4 linked regions of the Cricetulus griseus genome follow. The protein of the gene in region 1 purifies or fractionates together with the protein of each later gene. This does not show direct contact. Links are inferred from orthologs where the notes say so. Each region holds a gene or a part of one and is shown on either strand. Other genes may lie near its edges.

Evidence for each region.
Region 2: the proteins of Mapk8ip1 (region 1) and Map3k7 purify together in Homo sapiens (pull-down; 3 studies listed by BioGRID and IntAct, with this or other methods). This does not show direct contact. The link is inferred for Cricetulus griseus from reciprocal best matches to the Homo sapiens genes MAPK8IP1 and MAP3K7.
Region 3: the proteins of Mapk8ip1 (region 1) and Map2k7 purify together in Homo sapiens (affinity purification with western blotting; 3 studies listed by BioGRID and IntAct, with this or other methods). This does not show direct contact. The link is inferred for Cricetulus griseus from reciprocal best matches to the Homo sapiens genes MAPK8IP1 and MAP2K7.
Region 4: the proteins of Mapk8ip1 (region 1) and Mapk9 purify together in Homo sapiens (affinity purification with western blotting; 4 studies listed by BioGRID and IntAct, counting the BioPlex papers as one, with this or other methods). This does not show direct contact. The link is inferred for Cricetulus griseus from reciprocal best matches to the Homo sapiens genes MAPK8IP1 and MAPK9.

Annotation. Positions count from the first base shown.
Region 1 is NC_048599.1:84,354,684-84,357,705, reverse strand, and holds the end of Mapk8ip1 (C-Jun-amino-terminal kinase-interacting protein 1), read right to left. Parts: coding exon 2,907-3,022; intron 2,749-2,906; coding exon 2,673-2,748; intron 2,289-2,672; coding exon 2,116-2,288; intron 1,853-2,115; coding exon 1,743-1,852; intron 1,589-1,742; coding exon 1,472-1,588; intron 1,313-1,471; coding exon 1,242-1,312; intron 1,160-1,241; coding exon 1,061-1,159; intron 720-1,060; coding exon 647-719; 3' UTR 507-646; downstream 1-506. UniProt on the Homo sapiens protein: The JNK-interacting protein (JIP) group of scaffold proteins selectively mediates JNK signaling by aggregating specific components of the MAPK cascade to form a functional JNK signaling module. Required for JNK activation in response to excitotoxic stress.
Region 2 is NC_048595.1:110,111,435-110,115,656, reverse strand, and holds the start of Map3k7 (mitogen-activated protein kinase kinase kinase 7), read left to right. Parts: upstream 1-1,416; 5' UTR 1,417-1,701; coding exon 1,702-1,821; intron 1,822-1,827; exon of another isoform or gene 1,828-3,358; intron 3,359-4,222. UniProt on the Homo sapiens protein: Serine/threonine kinase which acts as an essential component of the MAP kinase signal transduction pathway. Plays an important role in the cascades of cellular responses evoked by changes in the environment.
Region 3 is NC_048597.1:89,048,736-89,053,015, forward strand, and holds the start of Map2k7 (dual specificity mitogen-activated protein kinase kinase 7), read left to right. Parts: upstream 1-1,433; 5' UTR 1,434-1,510; coding exon 1,511-1,634; intron 1,635-3,343; coding exon 3,344-3,391; intron 3,392-4,280. UniProt on the Homo sapiens protein: Dual specificity protein kinase which acts as an essential component of the MAP kinase signal transduction pathway. Essential component of the stress-activated protein kinase/c-Jun N-terminal kinase (SAP/JNK) signaling pathway.
Region 4 is NC_048600.1:64,342,386-64,345,948, forward strand, and holds part of Mapk9 (mitogen-activated protein kinase 9), read left to right. Parts: intron 1-2,410; coding exon 2,411-2,593; intron 2,594-3,563. UniProt on the Homo sapiens protein: Serine/threonine-protein kinase involved in various processes such as cell proliferation, differentiation, migration, transformation and programmed cell death.

The sequences.
Region 1 (3,022 bases):
AATAGTAGTAGCCAGGTGACAAGACAGTGACAGGGATGGCTGGGACCAGCTGAGAGGCCTCCTTTCCCCGCAAGGCAGGGCGTGCTGTAGCCCTCTCCTTCCTAGCGCACACAAGCCTGCCAGGACCAGCATGCTGGCCAGGCTGGAGGTTAGAGCTGCCCAGAGGCCCCACAGATGTCTTGACTGTCATGTATTGCCATTTCCTTACTGGAAAGTCCTCCGGAGGTGGTTGGACTCAGCCTGAGCTCAGGGCTCTAGGTGAGGTGGGAAGGGGACGGTGGGCACTTCCAGGTGGAATGGGCTTTGTCAAGGCAGGAGCCAAGAGCTAGAAAAGCCAGGATCCCTGGCATGAAACAAGACCCAGGATGGGGCAGTGCCTCTGTTCCTAGGGGAACCCTTTGTAGTCAGAGGCCTGACCCCCACCCCCAGCTTGACCCTTCACCAGTCCCCAGAGAGCCTGTACTGTCCTCCATAGATGAATCTAACCCCATATATTACAATAAACTGCATCTGCTTCTCCCCATACCCCTGCCCCCCCGAAACAGCCCTCACTCCCCCATTCTCTTGTGGCAGTGCCACATCCTGTCCGTTGCCAGCTGTCCTAGTACTGGCCTGGGGCAGAGGGCTGCAGAGGGTGGTGGCACTGCTACTCCAGGTAGATATCTTCTGTAGGACAGGTGTACTCCACAAACTGCTTGTAGAACTGCTGAAATGCACGCCTGGAAAATGGGGGGCACTGGGGTTAGGGTTAGGGTCACTGGGGGCGACCAGGAGCCTCAACTCAATTTCTTCAAACTTTGGGACTCCCGGACAGCTTGGCTCTGTTCTCTGGGCAGTTATTTCCCAAAGAAGAAAGGAGCAGTTGAGAAAGGGCCAGTAGCTAATTAACCAGGAAGTGGCCCCAACCCTGGGCTCCTTAGTACCTCCCAGCCTCTTCCAGGAGTGGGGTTTCTAGGACAAGGGTGACACACTGAGCATGAAGAAGCTCTAAGGCCTGTGACAGGGCATATTCCCTGGGCAGACCCTTATCAACCGCCCCCCCCCACACACACACACTTACCCCACAGACTCTGCCAGGGCTTTGGTGGAGTCTTCAGACACAAAGACATGGCAGGCAAACCGGTGGTCAGCAGGGTGCTTGGTGATGAAACCAAAGTACCTATGAGAAGGCAGGCATCTGTGAGACAAGATTCTTACCCATGACTACCACTGGGACTCTTATGTCTGCTTCTCCTACTTACTTGTTGTTCTTTGGATGATATCCACAGAAAGAGATGTTTTTTAGCTGGAAAAAGTGGCTACATTTATTTCCCTACAGGAAGGACAAGATAGTCAGCTTGGCAGAAACAGGCAGGAGGAGCAAATGGGGATAGGGCAGGCACACAGGGAGAGGAGGCACACATTGCAGGCAAGAAATAAAGGAGCAGGAGACGCACACAGGGCAGGAAGGCTGGGGCTTAAAGGAAGTCACCTTGGCCTCCTGAGCATCATCGGCTTTGACACCTATCTTGACACCTCTAACGCTGATCTCAAGGACACAGCTGGAGGGTGGGTTAAAGTGCACCGTGAGCCGGCGGGTGGTGGCAATCTGCATGAGGGACAGAGCCATGTTGGAAGCTCTGTGTTCCTCTATGAATCCCTCATGTCATAACACTGCCTCCAGATCCCTGTGTCCTTTTCCCTAGTGTGGGCTGGCTGAGGACAAACACCCCAGGAAAAAGCAAGGAGTCAGATTTGGGTACCTTTTGCATAGCGGCACAGAGGACATCGTTGCCCTTGTGATAAGGAACCTGGACGGAACCCAGGAACTTCACCCGGAACTGGTCAATCCAGTCGCTGTTTTTGGCAAGGGCTGGAAAGCAACCATACCATAAGGAGCAAGAGAGCCATCAGCAGAGGGCTCAGAGCCAAGCCAAGAAGGGAGAGTGCAGCATGTGGAGTGCCTCAGGCAGTGGAGGATGCTACCATCCCCACATGCCCCGACCTGGCATAACAGAACTGAAATTACTCTGCTCTCCTCCCTGGCTGTCTAAGACCTGGGGTACATGTACACTGGCAGCAAGTCAGGTGGGTAGATGTGGGGATGGGTATGACCAAACTAGAGGGAAGTACTACCTGCCATGTGCTCAGGCTCCTTGGTGACCTCAATGGCATAGTAGGCAGGAAAGACACCTCGGGCTCCGGTGCGCATATTATAGGCCTCATACCAATAGTCTTCTGCCTGCAGCTCCACCAGGAGAGGATCATCCACTTCAAGCTCAAGTTCATCTTCATGTCGAGGCACAAACCTACCCCCAAGGGCATGTGAGGTACTGATCATCAGGGTTCTTTAGCCATTGACATTTGCAAAATACCCATGTGCCTATCACAATGCTGCCTCCTGAGGGACATGCCACCCTGAGACATGCATCTGCCACACAAGATTTCAGGGCCAGGGAGGAAGGGAGCCTAGGCCTTGATGACTAAAAGGCCACAGAAAGTGAGCACTTCACCTAGAGGAGGCAAGATGGGGTGTGGGTTCTATGCAGGGCAGGTTAAGTGCACAGCCCTAGCTTCCTCATGACACCTGAGCATTTTGTCACTAAGCTGAGTTCCTACAGGGGATACCGTCCCCCAGCAGCTGAGGGGATGCCAGTGGTGGGCCAGTACAGCAAGGAAGGGGCAGCCCTCACCTGAATATAGCCCGATGGGTCTGCTCATGCTCCTCCCCATTGATGACACAGGAGAATAGCCCGAAGGACTCAGCACCTGTAGGAAGTCAATAGGCTGGAGGAGGTGACCTCAGCTCGGGACAACTAGGAAGCTCTGTCCTGCTCTCGGACAGACTACGTGATATCTGAGGCCCCATTCCATCTCAGCTCTCCCTGGCCAGGCTCCCCCCCACCATTCCCTGCTCACTGACTCACTGGAGGAGCGAGAGCGGCCACTCATGAAGACGTTCAGGAACTTCTTAGAGAAGTGGACATCAGGCTCATCTGGGGTGGAGTCCTCTGAGAGGCAGGTGGGAGGCCGGGGCTGAGGG
Region 2 (4,222 bases), on another chromosome or scaffold:
CACAGTAGCTTCTAGCTTGTCAAATACAATGATCTACTTGCAACCCCAAGCATTCTAACTTACTTATACTTGGATTAACTCAGACAGCTACTCTTTCATTGGAAAGGTCTCTTGGAGTAAAACTGGGATCTCCACCAGTACTAGTAAACTCAGGACTTGGCATTCTCAGAGTTAGTACTTGGGCACTAAATCTTCTCATGTTCTTGCTAGTTTTTTGAGTCAAATCAACTAAACCTAGCTTAAACTAAAACTTGTGTTGGTCATACAAGGATAATTAGGGTGCTGTGATCTAACTTGAATCGCAAAATTATTGCAGAGTACTGTATGAAGGCAGGGAAGGAAAAATTATGGGACCTAAGGGAAAGGAGCCCCTCACCCAGAAGTCGGAGCTCGTCACCAAGTTAAAGAATTCCAGTACAAATAACACTTGCTATGAAGATTGCCAACATAAAGGCAACATCCCTTTATATAAAGATATTTCATGTTGAACTAGCAATGGATCTTGCTTAAGGTTCAAGCCTCTGTGTCCTTTAAGTAAGGCCTTAGTCCTTTCCTAGATACTTTCTGGGAACCTCACAAAACCAGAGTATTAATTTCGTTTCCGGTGAAGTTATCCTAACTCCTGGAATCATGCTTGCCAGGTACCCTTCAGGAATCTCCCTTAAAGTCCGTAGTAACCCTTCAAAGACAATGCCTTCAAAGGTCACAAAAATCCTGTACATAAACATTGTAAGGACAGTGAAGAATGACTCTCCAGCTTTGCTTCGCACTGGCTCCTCCTAGAATTCTTCTCCTTGGTGCGTCTAAGGATCCGGCCTCGTGCGAGAGAAATCTCTCAAAACAAACTCTTCGAGCTGCTGCGGGCGACAGCCTCGGGAACCTGACAAGGTTAAACAGTTTGAGTTTATCAGTGTTACAGCACACCGTTAGCGTCTATCGGTGAGCACTCCTATTTCATGGTGTTCCTCAGGCTGTTCGCACTCATTGCTTCTTTTTCCGCCCCGAATCCCTCACAGGCTCGGGGGTCAGCTCAAAGGAACACACACAACGCCGCAAACGCCACACCGCGGAAACAGTTCTACAAAACTTGAAAGCTTCTTCAACAGCTCACGCGTGAAAGTGAAAATCAAGATGCGCCAAAAAGAACAGGACACAAAACACCGCCTGTCTGCCTGTCTGCAGACCGCTAGGAACAGAGGCGGGAAGGCACGACACAACTCAAAATAAAAACCGACAGATTTCATCTTTCCCGCGGGTTCCAGCGCGACCAACCCCAACTGCCTTCTCTCTCGTTCCGCTCGCGCATTTTCTTCACGTCACCGCGTCAGGTATCGCGGTACCGCCCGGCAGCCGAGGGCCTCCAACCAAAGTCTCGCGAGATTTGTCCCACAGGCCCAGAGAGCCACTCGCGCCCTCTTCCACTCCACCCCTAACCCGGCTTTTCTCGCTCTTTCCAAGTCTCAAAATTCCCCCTCCGGTTCCTCAAGCGTTGCCTCCCTCCCCTACTTCCGACTCCAAACCGGAACTGGAAGTGCGGTGGGCGGGGCTCGACGACGGAAAGCGCCGAGGAGCCGAAGCCGGGACTCGGCGGTGGCCCGGGTCGGTCCCGCGCCACGGAGCGCCCGGCTGCGGGGCGGCCCGGCTCGGGGCTGAAGGGCGGCGCGCGGGCGGGTGGGCGAGTGCGGCCCCCCGGGCGCCGTCATGTCGACAGCCTCCGCCGCCTCGTCCTCCTCCTCGTCTTCTGCCAGTGAGATGATCGAAGCGCCAACGCAGGTCCTCAACTTCGAAGAGATCGACTACAAGGAGATCGAGGTGGAAGAGGTGAGCGAGGCCGGCCGGGCCCTGCAGCCCCGCGCCGCCTCGGATCGGGGGCGGGGGCGGCTCCTGGACGGGCTTCATCGTTGATAGGAATCTGTGACTCTGTACCTGATTACATGTGTGACTCTATACCTGATCGCTTGTGTGCTCAACTGTGCGATGATCCGCAATAGAGCGAGCAGAGTTTGGCGGCTGCGGAGTTTCGGTTCCCTAGCCGTGGTGTTTAAGGCCAAGGCTGCGAGTGGCTGACACGAAAGGATGCTCGGGGACAGGCTGGTGAAGAAAGCGTCCCACGGAGTTTTCCCTGGTCCGGAATTCTTCTTTCTGATACCATAGAGTAGTTCTGTCTTCTCTTGGGCTAATGGGGATGACTTCCATTCTTAAGTGACATGAGTCTGTTGTGAAGGGATGTTTGAAATGTGCTATCAAAGTGGCGCATTCTGAAGAGGCAAGTAATGATTATGGTGACAGAATATAACACGGCACCAGACATAGCTGTTAGAAAAGCCGAATAAATTAAATCTCCACCTTGAATTTCAGAACAAACGTTTCAGAGTGTCTTCGATACATCCATCACCTGTTTTCACATCCGCAGTGGGCATCAGTTAGTTCTAAGAGTCTTCGTATTTCCAAAATAAAAGACTATGTGTATTTATATTTAAAATGCAGTTTAGAACTCATTAAAACTTTAGTTAGAAATACTTTCATGCAGTTCCTATGAGTTTGTCCTATTTTTAAACACTTTATGTTTTCTCTGTGGTAGTGTGGGGTTTATTGAAATCTACACTCTAAAGTTGTCTTTAAAACTTTTAATTATTGTAGTAAGGAGTTAAGAGTTGCAAGCTAATTAACACTCAGCAAATATATTTTTCCTTAGATAATTACTAAGTCACATCTTTTCATCGCAGAAAGAAACTTTAGAGATCACTGTGTTCATTGAGAACATGACTGTCTTACAAGAAGAGTGGTGGGAAGAGAAAGGTTTAAGACAAGAGGATTCAGTGTGTGGCATAGACCACTGTGTGACTTGTCTCCCTCTGCTTAGTGTGACAAATCCAGTTTAAGCAGTGTATGCAGAAAATCCAGCCTAGTGTCTGACACATTGTTAGCAAGCAAGTTCCAGAGAGGAAGGGTGACCTGCTTTAAGGTCACATGCTAAAAGAAGGCCTGTTTTTGAAGAGGGAAAACATTTTATGTGTGCCTCCCCACCCCCATTGAAGCTAAGATAAATTCCTTTTTTGAGAATCGGGTAGTTGATGCAGCTTTCATGGATAACATTCTTTTTTAAGACTAAAACTTCAGTGAGTCATTATATAAGAATTGCAGTTTTTAAGTAAGCATTTGCATATACTCTGGTGAATTGCTGTGCTTGGAGACTACAAATTGTTATATAATAATAGCTTGTACTTCATGGTCTACCACTTGTTTCCACAAACTTACTTTGTTTGATTCTTTTTAAAGCTTTCACAATCTTGCTTCATTGAGGCCTGCAAGTTGCAAGGGAAACAGTCATCAATTTGATGCTCTCAGCCCAAAGCTGGTACAGTTTTGAAATTTGTTTCATTTTAGTGCTTAGTTTATTTTCATAGCCTTGATTTAATTCAGGCCTTTCTGACTAAACAGTTTTGCACCATGGGCACTCAGTAGCTATTTTTCAACTTACATTCTACTTCTAGTTTAAATCATAGGAAAATAGAAGGATGACCCAACACAAAAACAATCTTATGTTGCTTTCAGTGTTTTATATGGACAAGTATATCACCTTTTAAATTAAGAAAATAGTGGCTTGGTGTGTAACTCAGTAATAGAATTCTTGCCCACCATGCTTGAGCCTCTGGCTTCAATCCTAACACACAAAAAGTGATTTAAGAGAACCATGTTATTTATTTCTCAATAACAATATAATGGAATCAGCATTATATGAAGATAAGTAGAAACTGTGCTGTAAAAAAAAATTCTAGCTAGAGACCAGATGTGGGATAATTTAGTAGATACACATTTTAAGACAGCAGATGCTTTTCATCGTTGTGCTCTTAGAACTGTGTCTCTTCACTTTCGAAATTTAACTCTGCTGTCAAATTATATCAGTTCTGTGTCTCAGAATTCTACATGGGTACTTAATTTTTTAAAAAGTCATTCAGTTTTTAACCTTCGTGTACCTAAGTGAAAAAAATCTGAACTGTAGACTGCATTGAGGGTGGCATGGTTAAAACAATGTGGTTTGGTGAAAATTGCATTAAACTGAGTATGTAGGAAATTAGGTGCTGTGTTGATTATGTCAGAACCTATTTGGACAGGTCATTCCGTTTGGAGACCTGTGATTTCGCTCTTTAGTTGAGAGATTGGATGAGATCATTATCTGTTCCAGTTGTAAAAATTAAATACATGTATTCTGTTGTTCTCC
Region 3 (4,280 bases), on another chromosome or scaffold:
TAATTCTGACCTCTTTGTATAGTATGGCTATCTAAGCTTTCTATAGCCAGGTCCAAACAATAACACCTACCTGTCAAATCAGGCTGGCTTTCCTGGGAGGAAAGACATCCCAGGTACTTAAATAGAGGGTGATGTAGAGACCTCATCTAATCAAGATAAATTAGATAGAGTTTTCTGCCTATTTTTTTTTCTAAATAACTGCCCCCCTACACACACAAAGTCAGTTGATGGTGATGCATACCTCTAATCCCCACACTCAGACAGGCAAACCTGAGTTCGAGGCCAGCCTAGTCTACAGAGCGAGTTCCGGGAAGGCCAGGGTTACACAGAGAAACTCTGTTTCGAATAGCCAAAACAAAACAAAGAATCCAATTTCCTCTCCTCCCTCCTCCTTTTATCCTTTTAACTCCAAGCATGTTTCTGCTCCACTTGTAGGTCATTGCCAGAGAGTAAGCCTTTTTTAAAGGCCCATCCCAAAGTGTTCACTGTTACTTTCAGAGTGGTGGCACAGCCTAACCTCCTGGGTATGGTCACTTGCTGAATGTCCCTGTACATTGCAAGCCTCCTCCTTGCCCTAAAAACCTAGAGGCAAACTGCTCCTTAGCCACCCAGATTTACAGATAGAGACGATACCCTAGCACCTTTTACTTAACTCTTTAAGCCGGGCAAGGAGCACACTCGGCAGAGGCATCTAACCCCAGCTGAGCCCAGCTTCTGAGGGCGAAGAGATGGGGATGGGGCGTCTCAAGGTCTCAAGTAGGCACGGCCAGGAAGTCTGGCCTTAACGGAGCTCAGGAATCGCCAGCTCTGGATTCCCTCTCCTCCAGTCAGGCCTTGCTCTACTCTGTACCGGCTGGAATGGAAAGGGATTCCCACGGGTGCCTAGTTTTTACGGTGAGGAGACGACTTCACGTTGACAGTGGGAGGTCAGGTCGCAATTAAGCATAACAGGGCCTAATGAAGGGCTGAGCAAGACGAGGAAGGTTGCTCTATGTACGCGGATGCCAGGGAGGGCCAGGGCTGGGAAAAGCCCGCAGGAAGTTAACGGAGGTACTGTGTGAACACGGATCCGGGAACGGCCGTGAGCGTGCGCAGTAGAGGCCGCGCGCGTGGCAGGTCTCCCCTTCTGCATGTATGCTGCCGTCCTGCCCGCCTTCCGCTACATAAAAAAAGGAAGAAAAGAAAAGAAAAACCGTGCTTTTTCGAACTGCGCCTCTGCCAGAAAAGCTGGGAGTTCGCGCATGCGCACTGCGGGAGGCAACTGTGGGTGAGGACAACGCACACTGCCAGCCTGGACCTCTAGGTGGCGTCCGCTCCCTACTGGGACACAGCGCGCACGCGCGGCGCTAACCGCGCGAGGCAGGGCGGGCACGCGCTGGGCTGGGCTGGGCTGGGCTGGGCTGGGCTGGGCAGGACGGAGGCTCGGCGGGGTCATTGGAGCGCAGGCGCAGTGCGGTGTTTGTCTACCCCGGGCTGACGGGCGGCCTGGCGGCGAGCGGCGGCGGGGAAGATGGCGGCGTCCTCCCTGGAGCAAAAGCTGTCCCGCCTGGAAGCCAAGCTGAAGCAGGAGAACCGCGAGGCCCGGAGGAGGATCGACCTCAACCTGGATATCAGCCCCCAGCGGCCCAGGCCCAGTAAGCACGGCGGCGTGGGGAGGGGGCGGGGGGGCGGGCGCGCTGTGGCAGGCCCCGCCCACCAGGCAGATCCCGCCCCCGCTTCCGGGGCGCTAGCTCTCCTCCCCTCTATTCCCTACCGCTGTCAGCTTGCAGAGAGAGGGTCACGGTGACCTGGGAGTCGGGTGGGCAGTCTCCAGGGCGACTTCCTCCCCACACACACCGAGACCCTGGGGTTCACATCACTAGGACATGGGAGTTTAGCCGCTGGGTCCCCTCACCCGGTGGTCGGCCCCCAGTGCCTCGTCACCTGCACCCAGCAGGCTTTCAGACCCGAAGCTTCCGAGATCACAGCCAAGTCTTTCAACCCTACAAATAGTTATATCTCTTTTGACCCGGTGGTTCCACTCCTGCTGCTTCTGTGATTGTCAAGAGGTTCCCCTCCCCTAGCAGACAGTCCAGGCACATGCATACCCATCTGCCCACCCAGGTCACTTAGCCCTCATTTACATCTAATTAGTTTTTGAATAGAGGAGTTTCCGTTTGACTTCTGTGGTCATATCTGATGGCTCCTTTTCCTAAACCTGGAAGGGGCCTTGTCATTGGGCCCAGCTGACTGCCTCCTTCATACAGGGGCACCTCAGACCTCTGTGACCAGCTAGCCTCAGGGTTGCTGTATGGCCCTCTGGAAACACATAGCCATTCCTCAGCCTGGCAGCTTTTGTCTCCTGGGCCCTAGTGACTGCTAGTCCTGCAGACACCTGTGGTCAGTGTGAATGTATCTAGTCCCACCCTACAGACACACACCTCCCTTCTGCCTCTTCCTTCTCTGGGCCTGCCTCCCTGACATATGGTCCTGTACCAACAGCTGTTCCCCCTTCTTCCTATATGCACACCCGGCTTGTCATCATCATGACCACAGTTAGCGTCCTTGTTGTATCCCAGATACCCCTGTCCCCAAGTCTTCTCTGTGAAGGGAATTTGATTTTTCTCCCTCCTCACCAACCCTGTGATCCATGCCTTGCCAACCCTCTTTGTATCCCTCTTGATCCCAAACAATGTCTTCTTTATACTCCTGTGTTATATAATTTTTGGAGTACATTATTAGAATTGTCTGTAGGTCACCTGGTAAGAGGGGAAAGGCAGCCTCCCATAGCTGAGAAATCTGTCCACTCCCTGGTCTCTTGGTAACTTTCACAGCCTGATCTTTTCCCTAATCCCTCTCCAGGGTTCCCTCCATCCTTCCCTCTTCTGGCCTGAGTCTGTCAGTTTTCCTCCCTGGAGAGTTTCTTACAGGGCCTGGGGATACCCAGAGTTCGGGATGCTTTCCCCTGGATTCTGCCTGGGACAAGAAGCAGGGCCAAGCTTTGGAAGCCCCCTGCTGGTCTCTGCATAGCCATCTTCCCCAGCCCCAGAGTGGATGAGACAGGGTTGGGTATGGGGTTCTAGGCACCCTAACAGGTGTCTGTCCCTAGAACAGAGTGAGACCTGGTAAGGCTGGTGGCTGGCAGGCCCCAAGGAGCCCCCTGCAGGTGTCTGTGTCTGTCAACTCCATGCCTTCCTCCCACCCTCCCATCTCTGTCGGTTTCTACCCATCTCTGCAGTTCAGTGCCTTGCGCCTCCCCCTCCTCTTCATTATGATTTGATTTCTTTTCTGTTGAACAAATCAGTTATTTCTGTTGTGATTTATCGTGGTTTTTTTTTTTTTCTTTCTTCCTTTCCCCATCCAGTTATTGTGATCACTCTAAGCCCTGCTCCTGCCCCGTCCCAGCGAGCAGGTACCAGCCTTTTTATCATTGCTGCTTGCATATCTGCACATTGACCTAACCGCTGCCCCTGCTGCAGAATGCTGTCCATCCCCACCTCATGCTGTGTGTGTGTGTTCTGTCTCTTCATTGTCACTTCCTCTCCCTTCACTACAGCAGTGTGAGTCTGGCTGTACTTTCTCTGTGCCCTCCAGCCTTCCCATTTCTTCTTTGGCTCAGCTTCGAACCCCCGGAGGATGAAATGGGCTCCCCTAATAGGTGGGCACACAAGGGTGCTTGTGTGTGAATAGGGTGGGTAGAGGCAGGTGCACTGTTCCTATTCAGTTGTGTCAGTTGTGGAGTGAATGAGTGTCATCACTTGTGTACTGTATCTGCTCTCAGGGCCAGGAACATAGCAGTAAGTAAAACAGACCAAGTTCCTGTCCTGTGGGGCTGATGCTGCAATAAGGGGTCCATCATTAGACACCGAGCAAATTCCTGATCCTGTAGAGTAGTCTAGTAGGATGAGGAACTCTGCACAGGGTTGCTCAGGGAAAGCCCATGGAGGATACAGGATTTGAACAAAAGTGTCCCAGGAGGTTGGGTGAGGCAAGACCCGCCCCCAACACACACATATAAGGACCCCATGCTGGGCAGTTCCGCTATGCTGGTTCCTAGGTATGCAATGTCTCCTGTGTATAAGAGAAAGAACACCTGTGTTGGCAGAGATGAGGAGAGCAGACTGTTGGTGGTAGTGTGTTCCCAGCTTGTGTGTATATATGGATGTGTGTGTGTAGAAGGATGGAGGGCTGGCCCTGTCCCCATTGTGTGTGTGTTCCATGTTTTTGGTTTACATGTGTGTGTGCACGTGAGTGTGTGCACGTTAGGTTGGTAGTCTGAATAGTAAGCATGTGTCCCTATG
Region 4 (3,563 bases), on another chromosome or scaffold:
TCACCCTAAGTGCTTTAAAGTTGCACAGAAATTAACATCATTTTCTAAAGAAAGTTTTGCTCACTTTTTCAAAGTTTAGATTGAAAATTTGGGTGCTATAGAAAGGCTCCAGAAACCAAGTTGAGGTTCTCTAGAGGTTTGCTTGTGACCTTGGCAGAAAAATAACTGCTCTCCTTACTGTGGCTTCTGAGAAAGAAAACACTTGAGCCTGGCCACCTGAAGTCCAAGTTCAGACGGCCTCTCATGGCAGCTGTGTATCTTGGAGAAATTCTGGTCTTTCTGGGCTATGGCTTCCTATTTTTCTAAATGAAAGACCTGTGCTCCATCCACCCAGAAGGTCCACCTTGCTTCTTTCCCAGGTAAAGCCCACTCCCCCACCCCATGCCACCTCCCTGCCACCATCTATCAAAATGACCCTGTAGCACTAATCCAGATATATATATATATATATATATATATATATATATATATATATAGAGAGAGAGAGAGAGAGAGAGAGAACCTACCCATTTGTAGGTGCTTCATCTAAGTGAAGTGTAAAAGATTCACTGCCAAGATCTCTTGAGGACAGTAGAAGCAGGAGGCACTGCTAGTCACCCAGAAAGAGATGGTGGGGCTCACACCAGGCCAGTTGGTTGGCCCTGGAGTCTTCTCCGAGGGGTAATCAAATGACTTTGTGGATTCAGAGTATCTAATCTATCAAGTGTGCAATTCAAGGCAAAGATTTGGAACAAAGAAAGGAATGTGGAAATCATTGGTTTGTTGATAGCACTGAAACCTTGAGCTGGTACTAAGCATTGAAGAGATGAACAAAGGATCAGGGATTAAGGAAAAGGAGGAAGGGCTCAGAACTTACCATTGGGTCTGGTGGTTGCCCCTGGCAACCTTAATGGAAACAGTTCTCCAGATGACTGGGGAGAGAAGTCTGATGAGAGTACATTTAGGAGAGGACAAGGACATAGGAATTAGATGCAGGTTATCAGTAAGCAGACTAGGGGTGTCACAGGAAAGTGGCTGTTGTTAACTTGGAAGAGAGCATCATGTCTGAATGATGGCAGAAGGTTCCAGTAGAGATCGAGTTTCGGGTGGAGCATCAAGAAATAAGAATAAGAGATACTTGTCCTTCAGTAGGTGAGAAGGGAAGGTAGATGGGCTTGGCTTTTAGCCAGAAGCCCAGATGGTTCCCAGTGGTAAGTGGCACAGAGATATGGGGGTGGGGGCATCATGTTGCTCTTAGGATTAGTCTTCACAGTGAGGAAGGAACATCAGGAAGAGGTGTTAAAAGTATATGGAGAGAGGGATAATATGGGCCAGGTTTCCTGTTTTGGCTAAGCCCCTAAATAAAACCTGTGCATAATCCTGAGTTGTCAAAGTGCATGAAAGGAGAGGAGAAGGAGAGCACCCAGGATTTCACTCTCTGCACCCATTTCCTGAGTAGACCTTCCAAATGAACGCTCTGTAAGACCTGAGTTTGTGTGACAGCCCTAGGTGATGTTCCAGGGGCATAAACACATATTCTGAGAAAGCCTGTCACTTTCCAAGCTCCTCTTATGTGATTTCATAGCCTGCATTGTCTTGTGTGACTGTTTACAGCTTCAGTGTCACTTTCCACAGACATTGTCCCAGTCACCCTAGGCCTAACGAGCACCCCTAGAGCTAAGCAAAGCTGGTGTCACCTGCATGTACAAGTGAGGTCGTCACTCCTAAGGACTGACTCCAGCAACCTTGAGAGTGTAGAACTCACTGACTATGAAACCGAGGTCATGTACATTGAAAGGAAGGAACAACACATCACTAGATGCTGAAGGGATGGGCTGGTGCTAAGTGAAACAGAATGGCCTCTGAAAGCATCATTGTCTAAGGCAGTTTCAGGAGGGTGTGTGGTCTGTGGGAAAGGCCTGAGCCTGGGCCCCTGCCCCTTCCCTCTGTATGCTTCCCGTGGTCAGCCTGTTTCGCAGGCTTTGCTGCCTAGCTATGAGACAGGTCAGATGGTCTCTCCAGCTCTTCTCTCCTTTAGAGACCTGTGAGTCTAAGGTAGCTTTAGTATGAAAATTGATTTCAGTTTGCTTATGTAACATTTGTTTATTTCATGTTTAATCATTTATATCATAGGTTGAATCATTTTTGTCATAATTTCATTTTGAATTATAACAGAAAAACTTATAGATTATGTTGATTTAATGAGCCATAATCATAGTCTTTAAGATGCAGAGAATGAGAGTTTTTGTTAAGTAATTTAAAAACCAAACCTTATTTAAATACTATTCCAAAATGTTTTTGCTGATCCTGTGGGGTGACCTAGTTACTTACTTGTCCACAAATATAAATATAATTTTACTTTGCATGATGGTACTGTATATGTTATGACTATGAAGCATTTCAGTTGTATTTTCCTCAAGAGAATCCTTAGATATTGATCAGTGGAATAAAGTTATTGAACAGCTAGGAACACCGTCTGCAGAGTTCATGAAGAAACTTCAGCCAACCGTGAGGAATTACGTGGAAAATAGACCAAAGTACCCTGGAATCAAATTTGAAGAGCTCTTTCCAGATTGGATATTTCCATCAGAATCTGAGCGAGACAAAATAAAAAGTAAGGTATTCTTTTATTCTATAATTGTTTCTCTAATGTTTGAGCTCTAAAACCCATGTATGTTAAGAACCCTGAAATAGCATCTCTTATGGTCTGACATTTGAATGCACCACAGAGTGAAAACTTAAAGACCAAGAGTCTTGACCTTGCTAAAACAAAGTAAAAAAAAAAAAAAAAAAAAAAAAAAAAAAAAAAGGCCAAAATTAAAATGTCCAGACCAATCTGGACAACCCTTAGGTTATGGGTTAGAAGATGCCTGCAAGTATGAGGACTTGGATTGTGTCCCTAACATCACACAGAAAGCCCACACATAGCTGCATATGCCTAGCAGGTCAGTGAGAGATCCTGTCCTAAAGGAATAAAGGGGAGAGCAATAGAGGAAGACACCTGACTCCCTCTTCTAGCCTCAGAATACATGGTAAAACACACACACACACACACACACACACACACACACACACACACACACACACACACACACACACACACGACTCATTGTGATGTCAGCAATCCAAATTCAAAATGTTTTCAAATGCAAAGAACTTCAGTTCAGTAAGTTCACTTCAGTAAGGATTCTAGACAGAAACTATTGAGTGTGGCCCAGTGAGAATGGCCCTTCCTGCCCTTCCATGCTCTTCCTAGACTGTGATCACCTGAGAAAAAACAATGGCTTTGTCTCCTCTACCTCAGGGTGAGCAGCACCTGGGTCAGGAAACCCTAGCCTTTCCTTGGTTGTATATTGTGAGCTTTTCATTGAGACCTCATTGAGCCTTCTGCTTAATTAAGTTGAGCTTGTTGGTTTTTTTTTTTTTTTCCTAACTACTAGCCCCTAGATTGAAAACAAAAAGTGTATACTGTCAGCATTGTATATGGCTAGGCAAAGCAGAGAAACCTCTGGGCTGTGGGTACTGGGAACATTTTTACATTGTTCTACTGTGACAGAAAAATACTCCTGGTGCTTCACGTCCAT